4 linked regions of the Caenorhabditis elegans genome follow. The protein of the gene in region 3 purifies or fractionates together with the protein of the main gene of each other region. This does not show direct contact. Each region holds a gene or a part of one and is shown on either strand. Other genes may lie near its edges.

Region 1 (5,207 bases), on a different chromosome or scaffold from region 3:
GAATTCTCAGAAGACTACCATAAACTTTTTTGCGCGCCGAGACCCATCTGAATAAATCCGTGCGCCTTTAAGAAGAATCTTAGAATACATGGAAAAATCTTGTAAAGTGACAACATTTCAAAACGAAAAGCTGATTTTTTTCTGGAAAAGCGCGCAAAAAAGACTTACTAAACGATTGACAGGACGGCCGCCAAAACCAGGCGACACGGGAGGTGGCGTGCATGAATACCTCAACGGGCCGTCGCTTATTTATACCCCTCGCCTCTTCGTAAATATCCAAATCTTATATATCCGGTATATATCACGCTTATGACGACGACTTAGTGATAAATATGTGTATGTGTGTGTGTGGCTCAGCCGGATATACAACCCATTAGAGCAAATTGAAAATCGCTAATCTGAATTTTTGCTAGGCATATGGAGGATGTCGCGCAAATTAAAGAAAAATAAATAAAATTTATTGGAACAATTCACCAGATATAAACTAAACATAAAAAAGGATTGACAGATTCAAACTTTATTCCCTTTAAAATTGCATTATTTACAGGTATTGGGATTAGATGGGTTTTTTGACATTGCTAAATAGTGGAGCAATAGTTATTTCTTCACATATCATCTTCTTCATCGTCGTCACTATCGTGACGTCGCCCACTTCTTGCATTCTGTCTTTGTTGCTTCTTTTCCTGCGCCAAAGCCCTTTTGTTGGCCTTATCTTTCAGCTCTCGCTCGGTTGCTGTTCTGACGTCAGCAGTTCTGTAATAGCACAAACGCGGATCCTTGATGACAACGGCCGTCACACCAGTCAATCGCTTGCAGCCACTAATCGGCGAATTGACATAAACCGGTTGTTCTCCAAGCCACGAACGAACAGGCTTCACGCGGACACGCGTCGATCTTCGGACACCGTCTGGAGCATCTTCTGGCTTCACTGAAAATGTTTAAAGTTTCGAATGATTGCATTAATTAATTAAAACTCACTGAGTTGATGCTCTTTCAGTTTCATACCCCTGTGTGTTCTCGGACGTCTGTTTCCTTTAGAATTCGGTTCAGGATACCATGTTTCGTCAACGAATGTGTCGTTTGGGCGTCTTCTCGACGAACTAGCAAGACCAAGAGCAATCGAATCACCTGAAATTGTTTTAAAAACGTTGTTATTTGTGAAGTAACACTCACTAAGAAGCCCGAGTCTTCTAGACGACTTTTTCCTTGGATCTGGACGTGCTTCCATTTCTTCTTCGTCAGAAGAAGATCTCATTTCATTTGTATCGTCCTCTGGAAAATCAATGGCACTGATATCATGTGCAGGCTCTTCGTTGACAGTCAGCGCATTCAATTCGATGTTCAGGGAGCGATTGCTTGAATCTGCTGCCTCATCCTCACCATCGACAATCACACCACCATTTTCAGATCTTTTTTCAATGACCTCCGTCGCCTGATCCTCCTCATCATCCTCCAAAACCATGCGAACAGCGGCTGAAGAAGTTGTAGCAGTAGTCTTCGCAGGCGTATTCTTTCGTGAAGTTTCCTCAAGCAAACGATTAGCATCTTTCATATTCATCCTTTTGACGAGTGAAGCGAAAGTAGGCTGTTCATATCGTCGTGCCGGGGTCACTCGATTCACAGAATCAACGATATCCATCCTAGTCGGTGTTGAGAGCAGTGCAGCCCGAGCACATTCGACATTGTTGGTGGGTCCAATATTACGGATAGAATTATCCGTGTGCCGAATCGATCTGGAAAATGGAGAAATAAGAATAATATTCCGCAATTCGAAAAAAAACATACTTTGGAGTTGCGGCTTTCGATACATGCATTGGCTCCACTTTTTCTGGAACTTCTGGAACCGGCGAAACTCGAGATGCATTGAATGTTGGAGAGATATAAGACGAGCCAATAGAATCCGCTTCCATTGTTCGTTCTTCAGCTACCGATTCCATCTCAATCGTTCGCTCCTTATTCGATTCAGTACTAAGTCTGCTGGTTGCCTTGATTCGTGGCGGCGTTTGAACCACCGGTCTGATCTTTTTTCGGGGATGTTTGAAGAAGTTGGCTCCCGGCGATTGAATTTCTTCCTTTTCGAGCATACTGTTGTGAAGAGGATTAGAAATACTGGCATTACGTCGTTCTCGCTCATCCGAAGTGACTTTCGACGTTCTCCGTTTTTCTCCTCCTTCCATCGTGTTTTGTGCCAGTACTGGAGGCTTCACACCAACACTCGTGGTTCCTTGCTCGTATGCATCTCTTTCTTCAATAATAAACGTCTTTTGAAGAGTTGAATCGTTATTTTCATCTCTGTTAGCTACGTTGAAAGTTCTTTGAAGTGATGACTCATCTTTCTCGGTCGGCTTTGTGAACGTTTTCTGTAGAGAGGAGTGTTCTGCATCTTTAGCCACTGTGACCGTTCCCTGCATTTCCGAGCTCTGATTCTTCTCGATCGTCACCGTTTTCTGAAGTTCTTCAGGAGCATCTTTAGCCACCGTGAAGTTTCCTTGCAGCTGAGAGCTTTGATTCTTCTCGATCGTTACCGTTCTTTGAAGCTGTGATTGCTCTTTTGATGCATCTTTAGCCACCGTAAACGTTCTTTGCATTTCCGAGCTCTGATTCTTCTCGATTGTCACCGTTTTCTGAAGTTCTTCAGGAGCATCTTCAGCCACAGTGAAGGTTTTTTGCAGCTGAGAGCTGTGATTCTTCTCAATCGTGAGAGTTTTCTGGAGTGTTGACTCTCTCTCCTCGAGAATGGTTGGGATAACGACAGACTTGGTGTGAACAGTCTGAAACGATATAAAAGTTAGTTTAAATATCTTTAAAACAAACAAATTTTACCACTCTTTCAGCATCTAGTCGATCGGTATTGACGACATGTGAAATATCAAGCGATCTCAAGGACCTCATCGACGTATCACTCGAGCTCTTGGGAGTTGAACAACTTAATCCAGCTTTTCCACTCTGAAATTATAGATTTATTAAACTATGAACACGCAAATTCATCTCATACCCCTCTGGAATTAGCAATTGGCGAGCCCATCATCGACTTTTCACTGATGTGTTTCGGAAGCGCCGGAATGGCAAAAACCGAAGCGCTTCGGACATTTTGATTCACAGTGTTCTCGCTGTCGCTCTCACATTCGGAGTATTCACGACAAGCAATCAACTCTTTGAAGGTTTTCGCTCCGTACATTTCCTTTTCGAGACGTTTTCTGGCCTGAATATAGTTTATTAGGTGTTGAAAAGATTTTGTGACTGAAATTTACATTGTTAAGCTGTGTTTGTTTCCTTTTCTCCAAAATAGCGAACATCTGCTTCTCAGATAGTCCCTGTTTTCTCCATTCTCGCTCCTCCAAATTTGCACTATCATTCATCATCGATTCATCGACGATAACTGTTGGTTCCTCCAAGTACGACGGTCTTGTATCGTCCAAGCCAGCCTCACGAAGAGCAACGATTTCAGTGATCATTTTCTGAAATAAACAAAATAAGTAAGCAATCAAATTACCATAATGTGGAACTTTTTTTTTGTAAAAATCAAACATTTGTTAAGAATTTTAAAAATCTGAATCACTTACTCGACCAGGAACAATCGTACTGCGGGTTCGCGGTTTTCGATTCATTCTGCAATTTGATATCGTTTTGAAAAAAAGACAATTTTAAGAGGTGAATAAATATAAGCAAACTTCTCGATGTCAAATGGGAGCTAAATTTGAAAGTGGCGGTTTTGCATTGTACAACGGAGCGCGTTTGGTTAGAGGGGGAAGGCTACGAGAAGAGGATAGAGGAAACGTATTTATTGTTTTCTTTTCGCATTCAAAAGGCAAGAAGGTATTATGAGCCAAATATTGATTGATTTTAAGGGAGAAAGACACAGACTTTGTATAAAATAATAGCCGAACCAAGTCAAACGCAGTTTTGAAGAGAGGCCAATCGATACGCTTTGGTGAAATAAAGAAAAATGAATAATACTTCATCGAGATCTATTTATGCTTGTTTTCACGAATTTCAACAAGGCCTCCACGTCCCTAACAGTAGAAAATACTAAACGCAGAATTTATTAGTAGTTTTCTAAATAAAATTCGTGCAATATTAGTTGAGCGGTAGCTCTTTAAAGTACATATTGATTTCAACCAAGTTCTTCGAAAGTTATTTCAAGCGCGTTTTCATTTTTTTTTCTAATGATCCGCAAGAAAATAAAATTTTAAAACGAAAAGAGAAAAATAGAATAAAATCAAAGCCTAAAAATCAGACTCTAAAAATGATTTTTCCCGCCTGTCGGTATCAAGTGTACGGTATTCGTGGTGAGACCCGCGCCCCCGCGCAAAAAATTTTGAACTTTTGCGGAGATGTTTGCACAGACAGCATTTAACTTAACGCAATTTTGCATGCTTTCTATACTTTCGAACATTTATTGAGACCCGAAGAACTCGGGGGATGTCCAATTGGGGGGATTACCAACTCGGGGGATTGGCCTCACCCACAGAACCGTGGTTTGCAATACGCCCATTTCTGCAAATGCCGCACGGTTTTAAAACTGTATTTTTCTCAATAGAGCGAGAATTAACAAGAAAAAATAATTTTAAAACCGTGCGGCAGTTGCAGAAATGGGCGTATTGCAAGCCACGGTTCTGTGGGCGGGACCAATCCCCTGGTAATCCCCCCAATTGGACATCCCCCGAGTTCTTCGGGTCTCCATTTATTTTTTGTTTTTGCCTTTTTGTCTTACAATTTTGAAGGTTTCCCTTCATCGATTTCATCCAAAATTGAGAAAAAATGTTTACAAAATGTATTATTTTCATTTCTTCCAATTTTCTAATTCAGATTTTCCCTAAAACATTTGTGATTCTTGATTTTTTACTTTTATCTATATGAGTGACGTTGTTTTGACAGCATATTTGATCAAATTTCTAGAAATGGTTTGTTTTATCACTACTGTTCATGCCTTCTTAATTTCAAATGATCTTCAAACATTTATATTTGTGTTTTCGGTTATTCTTCATGTGTTTTTTATTTGATTCGTTTCAACCCATCCAAATGCGCGGTCTCTCGCTCGATCTCTCGTCTCTCTGCGTTTCCAGTGTAAAAGAGAAAGGCGAGCAACAACTTCTATCATTTCTCACGTCGCTCGTCAAAATAGTTGTCTTGTTTGTTTCTCAATTTTAACATTCTCTCCTGTTTTGACCATCTTTGAAATTTTTGAAAATCAATATCAAACAATT
Region 2 (3,085 bases), on a different chromosome or scaffold from region 3:
GAAGATTCTTCTTCTTCTTCAGAATCCTCATCCATGTAGATAATGTCTTCTTCTTGGCGTTTTAGCGATTTGCGACGTGGTGGAGTTGGATTTTTTTTGGGTCGGCTGAAAATTGATGGAATTTATTTTTAATCTGAACAGGCAGATTTATATAGCTTCTAAATATTCTTAATTTTGCAAAATTGGGATTTTTCAGAAAAATTCCCAATTTTTTGGAAAAAAAATCCATGATTGTGAAAAAAAAATCTCAATTTTTGAGTAAAATTCCATTTTTCTGAAAACAAAATTTAATTTTTTTGCGGAACACTTTATTTTTGTTTTTCTTGATTATGCAAATTGTAGCCTCGTTTTCAGGCGTTTTTCCGCAAAACTATCATAAAAAGAATTTTGAATTTTCGATTTCTGAAAAAATGAGAAAAAATCAAGAAAACCCGAAAAATTGGCCGGAGAACGCAAGCATAGTTCCTTCGGAATTTGAATATTTGCAAAAATTCGAAACATTTTGCAGTTGTATTCGGTATTACCCAGGCGCGAAAATATGATCTCGAAACGACAAATTTTTGTACATCGCAAATGGGTTTGCATAGTTTTTCTTTAAATCTAAATAATTTGTTGTGAACGACGTGAAAAAGCGTATTATACGTTTTTTCGATTGAAAATTTGACGAAAGCGGAAATATCCTAAGAATTTGCGTTAAAACTTGAAAAAAGCATTTAATTGAAAATTATCTGAAATCAGCGGAATTTCTGAAATTATTTTTCTTCTTGATTTCTCACCCTCTAGCCTTCGAGGTACTCTTTGGTGCTGGTGTTGACGCAGGTGTAGATCTAACCGAGATCTCTTCAATCTTCACCTCCACCTCCTCGGCGTCTGATGGTGTTTCCCGTTGAGCCGCACGTTTTTTTGTTGGCGGTGGACTGTAACCGTCGTCAAAATAACGTTTCGGAAGTCGACTGCGGCGTGGACGAGATGATGATGTGGATTCTGATGGGTCTTCTGAATCGGCAATTGAAGAATTTCCGGATTCAGACGGATGCTTTCGCTTTGAACGGCCACGTGGTGGAGCCATCTGAAAAAATTTCGAAACTTTTCGAAAATCGATAAGCTTAAGAATGTTCGTCAAAAAATATTGAAAGCCTCGAAAGGAATAAATTTAAAATCAAATTAGAACACTGGTAATTGTGAAAAAGAGCTTGAAATCCAAGAAAAAAAGATTTTACGTCATCATATGGTCTTTGGAGGAAAATCAATAAAATTTGCGAGAAATGACAATCGGAATATAACATTATTAGATAAAAATACATTAAAAAAGGATCCAGGATTGGTAAACTACAGTACGAAATCTTAATTTTTGAAGCTGAAAAAATCGATAATGGGATAAAACTCATTTTCCAGCGGAAAATCGGCTTTTCTCAAGTGGAAACATAAAAAACAATGGGAAAAAAGGAAAAATAATAATTTTCCGAAATTTTCCTTCACTTTTCCGTCTAAATAATCAGTTTGGACACTTTTTTGAACGCGCCGCGCCGTAAATCGACTCAGTGCGAGAGGCACACCCTAAAGGCGCACACATTTATTTGCAATGGTCGCGACGAGACCTTGGCCCTCTTGACGCGGGAATTTGAGTTGGAATTTATCTTTGCTAATTTTGCTGTCGCATTTTTATTTATTTATCTTAGTTTTTAACCGATTTTCATTGAATTTTTGCAGGTTTTTCGGCAAAATGGAGTCACTCAACGAGTATATGGACAAGATTATTAATCGTCTTAAGGCAGTCAATGAGAAAGACGAATTAGTTGATGAAGGAATGCGGAAACTCCAAAAATGCCAGGAAAAAATTATGAAAACGAGAATCGATGCTCAAAAACATATCGATGGTAAATTTGCAAGGAAATTGTTTAGATGTGTGCATAAAACAAAACATTTGTTCAGAACGCCACGAGCAACAGTCATTCGAACAACAGCTACTGAACAAAAATATGTTTGAAACTGAGCAACTGGAAGAAAAACTAAAAAGATTGGACGATGAGAACAAAATTGGAAATGAGCGGGAATTTAACAGTAAGCTGATAGTCTTTGAAACAATTTATCTGATTTACTCCAGAAAAATTGGAAGCAATATCTGCGAAGTGGACGGATGACGTCAATCTCTTGAAAACCACGCCGAATGAGCCTAACGATGGGAATAGAAAGAAATTGTAAGGGATTTAATTAAAAATAAGTTTTGTGAAGAAACTGCTCAAAAGTTTTTAAAATCTGGACTAAAATCTTCAGTTTTGCCTACTTTACTGTGTGGCTGGCAGCAGTCGGAACTTAATGTTTATTTAATTATTATTATGCGGGCGGCACTGAAGAGCGGTAAAAATTTTGATATTTCACCACCAGACTCGTTTATATAGGTCCATTTTAAAGCTATTTAACCAAAAAATCCTTCTTTATAAACTAAACGTGTATTTTTTTCAGATCGAACCTCTCCAACATCTTGGTCTAACTCTGGTTTTCATCCACGTATCAATTATGCCTTCTTTTCATGTATATTAAATCATTTCATTTATTATATTGTTATCATCATCACATTTCAATAGTTTCCAATTGTTCCGTAGAAGGTATTAGGGAAACTCTTCTCTCTTCCGTTCGAGGAAAATTTGTTCAAAAGTTCCCAGGTGTTAGCGGAAGATTGTGGATTTTCTTGTGATGTCGTGGTTTCTACAGGAGCCGGTCTCACTCTTGCCAGGGATTCTTCAGAAGAAGAGGATGATGATGAGGAAGACGAGGACGACGACGAAGAAGACGATGAAGATGTGGAGGAGGATGGACAAGAAGCAGAAGCTCTCCGATTCAAAGTTTTCGGGCAAAATTCTCCATTTGGATTCACCTCGCAATCGTGATGAATTTTCCACGCGATGAACTTGTCCAGGTACACATTTCTATAATTGGAATTTTTCTATAATATTTGGAACATTTTTATCTCTGACAACCCGGATGCAATGGGGCCTGCCTACAATCGACGCCTTTTCTCTGTCTTCCCTGGATTTTGGATCTCGCTGCAAACTTTCTCGCAGCTTTCGGAATGCCAAGCTTCACG
Region 3 (3,910 bases):
ACGTGGCAACCGTTGCAACTGCTGTGGCTTCTCAGAATATTTTCAGCAAGGATAGTAGTTTCTTATTCAATAAAATTTCCGCTTTTTACGAAAAAAATAGAGCGAAAAGTCAGAAAACCTATAAAAAATACAGTACCCGTGTTTAAAGGCACACACACCACATCGGAAGCGTGGCGAGACCTTTGACCACGTGGCAAGACCAATTGAGGCACCACGAAATCTAGAACCGGTGGGATATCGGATCTGGCCCGTTTCTTTGCGTTGGCACTTGAATCCGTGGTGCCTCGATGAATTTTCGATCTAAAAGCTTCAAAAACTAATAAAATTCCAGTGTGGTCTCACAACACTTCGCGAAATGCCATTTTCCTGTTTTCGAAACAATGGCGACGTGGTTTTCGAGAACCTCGTCGACGGTGGAGTCAGCGGGAAACTAATGGGGAAGAAGCTAGAAAAACATGCAAATGAGGAGGAAGAGGACGACCTTCGATAGCGATAGCAACTCAAATTAAAGAAACATATATTTATAAAGGACCAAAGCAGCTAGGATCTCAACTTCAGATACTCAAAACCAATAATTAAAGTACACGTAATGAAATTGACACTTAATAAGCAAGACCTAGGCTATGAATAAAATATTATACATGTATTTATGAAATCAATTGTGTCAGAAATAGAATATTATACAGAGCGTGAGAAATCAGAAATCAGAATTCAAAAATTGGAATCGGCTTGATTTTGCTCATTAGAGCATCGATTCGCTCGAAGCCCTGCTTGATTTCCTCCCGGCGAGCGAGCGCTTCCTCTTCCTCTTTTCGCATTTTCGCCAGAAATTCATCCTTCTCTCTCTTGATCTTGTTGAGACTCTCCAGCTTTTCTTCCTGGAAATATAATATTGTATTTTTATTTTTAAAAATCATATTTAAATAATTTGAAACTCTCACCAGCATCCCGCGCTCATCCTCCAGCTGCTGGTTCTCCTTTTGTGCAGTATTCACGTTTCCGGCATCCTGGGTTTTGTCGAGAAAACTTCCGTGAAGTCTCGCAACGATATCATTTGGCGATTCTTCTTTACGCAGAGTCATGTCCAGGGTCTCGAGGCGAAGAGGCAGAGCGGACGAGATGAAGCTGTCCTTGGCGATTTCAATAGCTGACTTGAGCTTAGTTTCGCGGGATTTGAAAACCGCTTCCATGTCGTCGATATTCCGCGCCAGCTGTGCATCGTATTGGCTCATCTGAAAATGAAAATTTTAGATTTAAATGTAAAGTTAAAAATCGATAATACTACCTCTTTGATGTCGGTGGCCAACTTTTTCATGTAACCCGACATCTCCTGCGGAATCTTTGCCATCAGAAGCTCCAGTTGCGTCGAGTCATCAGCCTTGCGATCCTCGTTCGTAGTGTCTTTGCTGGTGAAGAACAGACGCTTCCCAGGCGTTGGCATCGACTTTCTCGAGGATCTTCTGCGTGGAGTCGTCGATTTTTCGCAAGGAGTTACGCCACGTGTCGGCGTTGCTCGCTGGGGCGACGGAACGATGGTTCCATCAACTTCCATCGGCTCAACGTCGTCGTCATCTTCGTGTTCCGAAACACTGAAAGTTTCTGGGCAACCTTGTGTTTCGTCTGGAACCTTCAAAGTAGGGCCACTAGCGCACGCGTCTGCAGCCAGAAAGGTGCCGTCTTTATTTCTGTCGGTGACTTCCGAAACATCGTGCTCGAGGGCAAAAACTGGCGGCCCTGCACGTGGCACCTCTCGAGCCACTTTCTTCTTTGGAACTGCTGATGATGAGCCGACGGGTGATGCGAAGAGCGCGGCTCTGACCGAGAATGTGGTGTCGTTTGATTTTTGAGACATTCTGAAATGAATTAGTGATTAAAAATGAGAAAATAACGTTGAAAACAAAGAAATGGCTTATTTTAATATGAAAATCCAACTTTTTTGATCTAAAATTGATAGAAAACGGGTTTTTCTATTTGAAAATAAAACTCATTTTTGTTAAAAAGCTTGCAGTTTGCCGAAAAATGCCGTAAAACATTATTTTCAGATAGACAAACCCGTTTTCTGCATTTTTATTTCAATTTTAGACAATTTTCGCTTAAAAAAGTTGGATTTTCATGTTGAAATAAGCCAGTTTCGTGTATTTTCCGGAAAAAACTGCCGCAAATGAAATGGAAATAAGAGAAAATCGCAAATTTTGGGCCCAAAATCCACCGAATGAAGGGGTCACGTTCAAAATTCGCGGGGTTAATTTGCCGCGCCAACCCCGTCACTGACGCATTTCTCGTCGCTTGCGCGTTTGCGGTGCAAAATTTTTAATCTTTATTTTCCTTATTTCCAGGCGTTTTTGAAGAGTTTTTCATGGTTTTCAGGCGTATTTTATTGATTTTTTATTGTTCTTATTAGTTTTTAAAGCTTTTTTACCGTGAAATGTATCTTTTTTGCGATTATTGTGCGTAAAATGGCCTTAAAATCGAATTTTCCAATATTTTTTTGCAGTTTCCAGAAAATGGCTCGAGAACGGAAAGCCAGGAAATCAAATGTGGCGGCAGTTACATCTCCTGCAACTCCTGAGAAAATCGAGTCCCCTGTAGTAAATGGGCATTCGCATATTAACGGTTCGCTTCGAAATGGGAAAAAACTGAGTGAATCGGAGAAAGAGGCCAACAAACCGCTCGGAGATCGTGAAAAAGAGCCAGCCACGTAGGATTATTGGTGGATTTTCGATAATATTCAATTATTTCCGATTTTCAGGCCAACTTCTGAACTCAAAAAGGGAAAAACGAGTGGTAGCGGCGGTGGATCACAATGTGTTCTGCTTACTCAGGGAATAATGGCTAATGATAGTGCAAAAATCGACTCAGTCATTAGAAATTTGAATTCTGAAATTATTCACGCTACCCTCCGTGATCTCCAGCCGATGCAGGTCTTGCCATTGCTCAAAATCATCGAATCTCGCTTGAAAACGAGGAATGCTGCAGAGTAAATCGAATTTTTAGTACTAATTCCTCCTAATTTATTGATTTTCCAGCATTCGTCCAACCATCCGATGGGCTCAAATCGCCTTCTCAATTCACATGCCTTATCTCAGCTCACTTCCGAATTTGGAGAAGGAAATTGGCGGTTTAATCGGCTGGCTGCGCTCAAGAGTCGGTCATCATCGAGATTTGTTGGCTCTTCACGGAAAAATATCCACAATCGCTGATCTTATCAAGAGACGAACTAATAATGTGGTTATTGTGCAGCAGCCGTTGGTTGTGTTCAATAATGGTAATATTTTGAGCGGATTTTCGCGGAAAATTACGCGCAAGATATTTTCCAGCGGAAAAGCCTGTGTTTCCCACGTTTTTCAGTGAAAATTCACTTGGTTTATCTGAAAATAGCATTGTTTTTAGTGGAAAAAGTGGAAAAAAACGCAGAAAAATGCAACTTTCAGGCAATTTTTGGGCATTTTCTCCAATATTTCTGCTGAAAAGTGTGTTATTTTCATATAAACCGAGAGAATGCGGCAAAATAGAATTTTTTGTAGATAAGCTCGGAAAATGAATTTTTGCAGGTTTTTTATAAAAAAACATTAAAAATCAGATTTTTCCGCGGTTTTTAGTATATAATAAGGTGAATATTCCTGTTCTCAATTATTTTCGGAAAATTCTACAAAAAGCCTGTACTTCCCAAATTTTTCAATAAAATCAGTCTCAAAACATAGAAATTCACTTGTTTTTACTGAAAATAACATTATTTTTAGTGGAAAAATTGGAAAAAGAGCAGAAAAATTGCCTGAAAGTTGCCGATGACCGATTTTTCGGCAACTTTCGGACAGTTTTTAGGCATTTTCAGCTACAAAAGATGATATTTTCAGTTAAACCAAGAGAATTTATATATCTTTTGTAGAATTTTCCGAAAAAAATTTAATTT
Region 4 (2,904 bases), on a different chromosome or scaffold from region 3:
ATGCCCAAACAATGGAAATCCGAAAATCGTACGAGGACACAATTTCCCATCCATGATTCGAACATTGAAAGATGAAGCAGGAGTAACTTATTTCGAATGGCTCATGAAGACTGATCTCAAAGGTATGAAAACTAAAACTTTATCAATTTTTCTATTCATTATATTTTTCAGGTGGCCTTCCACGCCGTCTTGTTCACTCGGGAATGGTCAATTACTTCAGTGAGCACGTGAAACGGATGAATGAGTTCGCAGAAACCCATTATCATTGTCCTCCTTGAGATTCAACACAAAATTATATTTTATACCTTGAATGTGATTTACTTTTTTTTTTCTGTAAGTATCTGTCCCCTATTTCCCATCGCTAGATATTCCTGCTAACCTTTATCATGACTAATCACTTTTTAAAGTTTCATACCTCCTTGCCCTTTCTGAATTTTCCCCTCACAATTCCAAACCAATATGAATATTAATTATTCCGAAAGATGTTTTTTTTGAAGAGAAAGTTTTATTTTAGAGACAAACAAAAGTTCAGAAAAATTTGGTAAATAGGAAAAGAAAGATTCAGTTAAATTAAGTGAAGGTTATATTAATATCAAAATTCTACAGCTTTTGCTGTTGTGACTCGACAATTGTTGCAAGCTCCTTGAGCACCTGCTTACGACGAGCTATTTCATCTTCTTCAGCTTTCAGTTCTTTTTCAATCTTTTCGATTTCAGCATCTGCTTCAGTGAGCATTTTCTCGGCAGTTTCGGAGAGGTGCAATGCGACATCTCGTTTTGCCTAAAACGATGAAAATGTGTATATTAATATTAAAATCAATATACAAACATTGACTGGATTATATCCCATTTCTCTTCCGAGTTGCTTATTTAATTCTTCAGATTCTCTCGTCAATTGTTCCATATCATCGAAAAGTTCGTAAACACTATTTTCTTTAATCATTTGATCAGTCTTCTCCAAAACTTTTTGTTGTGTTGATTTCGCCATTCGAGCCATCACAGCATCCACTGCAGCTTTATCCATGTTGAGTTTTCTATGAGAACTCTGAAAATTTTAGTTCTGGATAAAACGTGCAAAAATATCAAGCTTACCATTTTCCACAAATCCTGGGACTCTAACAATGATTTTGTGAATATTTCCAGAGTTGTGTCCAGCATTTGATTCAAGACTTCTTTTCTTTGCGACATGATATTGATTTTATCTAAAACGCGGAAAACTTACAAATACACTTAACAAGAAACTATGAAACGAAATTAAACAAGAAGTATTTTAAAAGTTATGGAACTTCACGCAGGAATAAATTTGAGCAGAAATACAAGTATTATGCATATTTATTTGTTAAATAAAATAAAGGAACATGAAATAGAACTATTCATCGCTTTCGTTTTCTCCTCCAAAACCAATTGTATGTGCGAAGTAGTTTAGATGAAGAGCGAACGCTTGTCTGTAATTATTACTGATCTTCAGAGCAAAATCTTCGAAATAGCCTACCGATTCTCAAACTTTCGGCCGCATCCAGAACATTTGAACGGATCGTCAATTTCGTGATATCCAATGTGCGTCATCCAGAGGATTGCGTCGGTGAAACTCTGTGAAAAATTACGTTTTTAAGATTTTCCAGAGCAAAAACCATACCATCAAGCAATGAGTGCATTGGTATTTCTCGTTATCATTCAATGGGAATAATTCTGCAATCACATCCGATAGTTTCGCGATCATCTCCGAATTGGAAGCTGATGATACAGACATAGCCATCTGAAAATTCAAGTTTCAACCTCTATCATGCTATAAATCCAACCTGCAATTGCTTTAAAATCCCATCATCTTCGTCTGCTTCATAGATTTCTTCCTTGACTTCGATTTCTAAAGCATCTTGAACATCGAATTGCTTTGATTCTTCCTTTGCTCCAACTGAAGTTTTTCTTTCCTTCCGGCTTTGATTCTTTTTCATTCGAAGGAAATCTTTCTGCTTGATAATCATTTCCTCCGCATATTCTTTAAGTTCTCCATGCTTGAATGTGTGATGGAATAGCATTTTACGGAAGGATACTGAAACTTCGGAGCAATCCTGAAATGTTTTGATTAGTTCTGTTTCAATCTATCGATATTTTACTTACCTTGCACTTTATCGATACTGTACCATTCACATGATGAGCTGTATTCGCATGATTCTCGCCCTCTAACATGGTCTCAACGAGTTGATCACATCCTTCGGCACGACAAGGTAGAGTTCTGAACGAAACAGTTTTTCAAAAATTTCAAAATATTTCTTGCAATTACCCTTTGCTGATGTGGTCGAGTGCGTGGAAAAACAGAGTATCCGTTCGATTGAACATTTTGTCGCAGAAATAGCACTCCAACAATTTGTCATCTAAAAATAAATATTGGTTTCATAAATCTAATCGCCTGAAACTAACTGTGCACTTTGATATGACAACGAAGGGATCTTTCAGACGTGAAAAATCGATCACATTGTTTACATTTAACTTTTACATCGGGGGAAGTTGTATTGGCATTCACCTGAAACGTTTTGATTATGATACTTAAAAGTAAAAATATAAAAGCTTTGAATAAATATTAATAATTACCTCGAGAATCGCGGATTCTTCCGGAAGGCCTTCCATTTAACACTGAATAATGATTCACCGTCACCGTCCATATCATCAATCTTACACGTCTCCATGATTATGAGTTGTCAAAAGGTCACGGGAATATTTGACAAGAAAAACGTTTGCGTGTCCTCATTCTTTCTTTTTCAAAACGCGTCGACTGCCGCCAAAAACGGCATTTGGCCTAGCTTTCCGAGAGACTCGGCCACGAATTGGGTACCTATCAAAAACTGATCGATTTGCATAATATTGGATCATAAATTGTAATTAGTTTCAATAAATACAATGCACAATG

Evidence for each region.
Region 1: the proteins of knl-3 (region 3) and hcp-4 purify together in Caenorhabditis elegans (affinity purification with mass spectrometry; one study listed by BioGRID). This does not show direct contact.
Region 2: the proteins of knl-3 (region 3) and kbp-3 purify together in Caenorhabditis elegans (affinity purification with mass spectrometry, with the first as the bait; one study listed by BioGRID). This does not show direct contact.
Region 4: the proteins of knl-3 (region 3) and kbp-2 purify together in Caenorhabditis elegans (affinity purification with mass spectrometry, with the first as the bait; one study listed by BioGRID). This does not show direct contact.

Annotation. Positions count from the first base shown.
Region 1 is NC_003279.8:3,862,330-3,867,536, forward strand, and holds hcp-4 (HoloCentric chromosome binding Protein), read right to left. Parts: upstream 3,610-5,207; 5' UTR 3,609-3,609; coding exon 3,564-3,608; intron 3,459-3,563; coding exon 3,252-3,458; intron 3,203-3,251; coding exon 2,996-3,202; intron 2,947-2,995; coding exon 2,824-2,946; intron 2,772-2,823; coding exon 1,786-2,771; intron 1,734-1,785; coding exon 1,174-1,733; intron 1,129-1,173; coding exon 979-1,128; intron 929-978; coding exon 606-928; 3' UTR 504-605; downstream 1-503. Other genes in the region: guk-1 (guanylate kinase), read right to left, coding at 169-223.
Region 2 is NC_003280.10:14,388,704-14,391,788, reverse strand, and holds kbp-3 (Kinetochore-binding protein 3), read left to right. Parts: upstream 1-1,710; 5' UTR 1,711-1,723; coding exon 1,724-1,877; intron 1,878-1,932; coding exon 1,933-2,061; intron 2,062-2,104; coding exon 2,105-2,198; intron 2,199-2,463; coding exon 2,464-2,491; 3' UTR 2,492-2,553; downstream 2,554-3,085. Other genes in the region: nurf-1 (DDT domain-containing protein), read right to left, coding at 1-105, 777-1,069; F26H11.8 (uncharacterized protein), read right to left, coding at 2,965-3,085.
Region 3 is NC_003283.11:1,867,156-1,871,065, reverse strand, and holds knl-3 (Kinetochore NuLl), read right to left. Parts: upstream 1,854-3,910; 5' UTR 1,853-1,853; coding exon 1,286-1,852; intron 1,233-1,285; coding exon 942-1,232; intron 879-941; coding exon 705-878; 3' UTR 508-704; downstream 1-507. Other genes in the region: T10B5.4 (aralkylamine N-acetyltransferase), read left to right, coding at 1-50, 332-490; T10B5.3 (Small-subunit processome Utp12 domain-containing protein), read left to right, coding at 2,505-2,698, 2,750-2,977, 3,027-3,265.
Region 4 is NC_003281.10:4,902,684-4,905,587, forward strand, and holds kbp-2 (Mediator of RNA polymerase II transcription subunit 21), read right to left. Parts: upstream 1,202-2,904; 5' UTR 1,188-1,201; coding exon 1,092-1,187; intron 1,045-1,091; coding exon 829-1,044; intron 781-828; coding exon 601-780; 3' UTR 501-600; downstream 1-500. Other genes in the region: tag-340 (START domain-containing protein), read left to right, coding at 1-122, 172-278; F26F4.8 (C2H2-type domain-containing protein), read right to left, coding at 1,369-1,444, 1,492-1,589, 1,636-1,755, 1,799-2,068, 2,118-2,232, 2,281-2,371, 2,418-2,520, 2,589-2,624.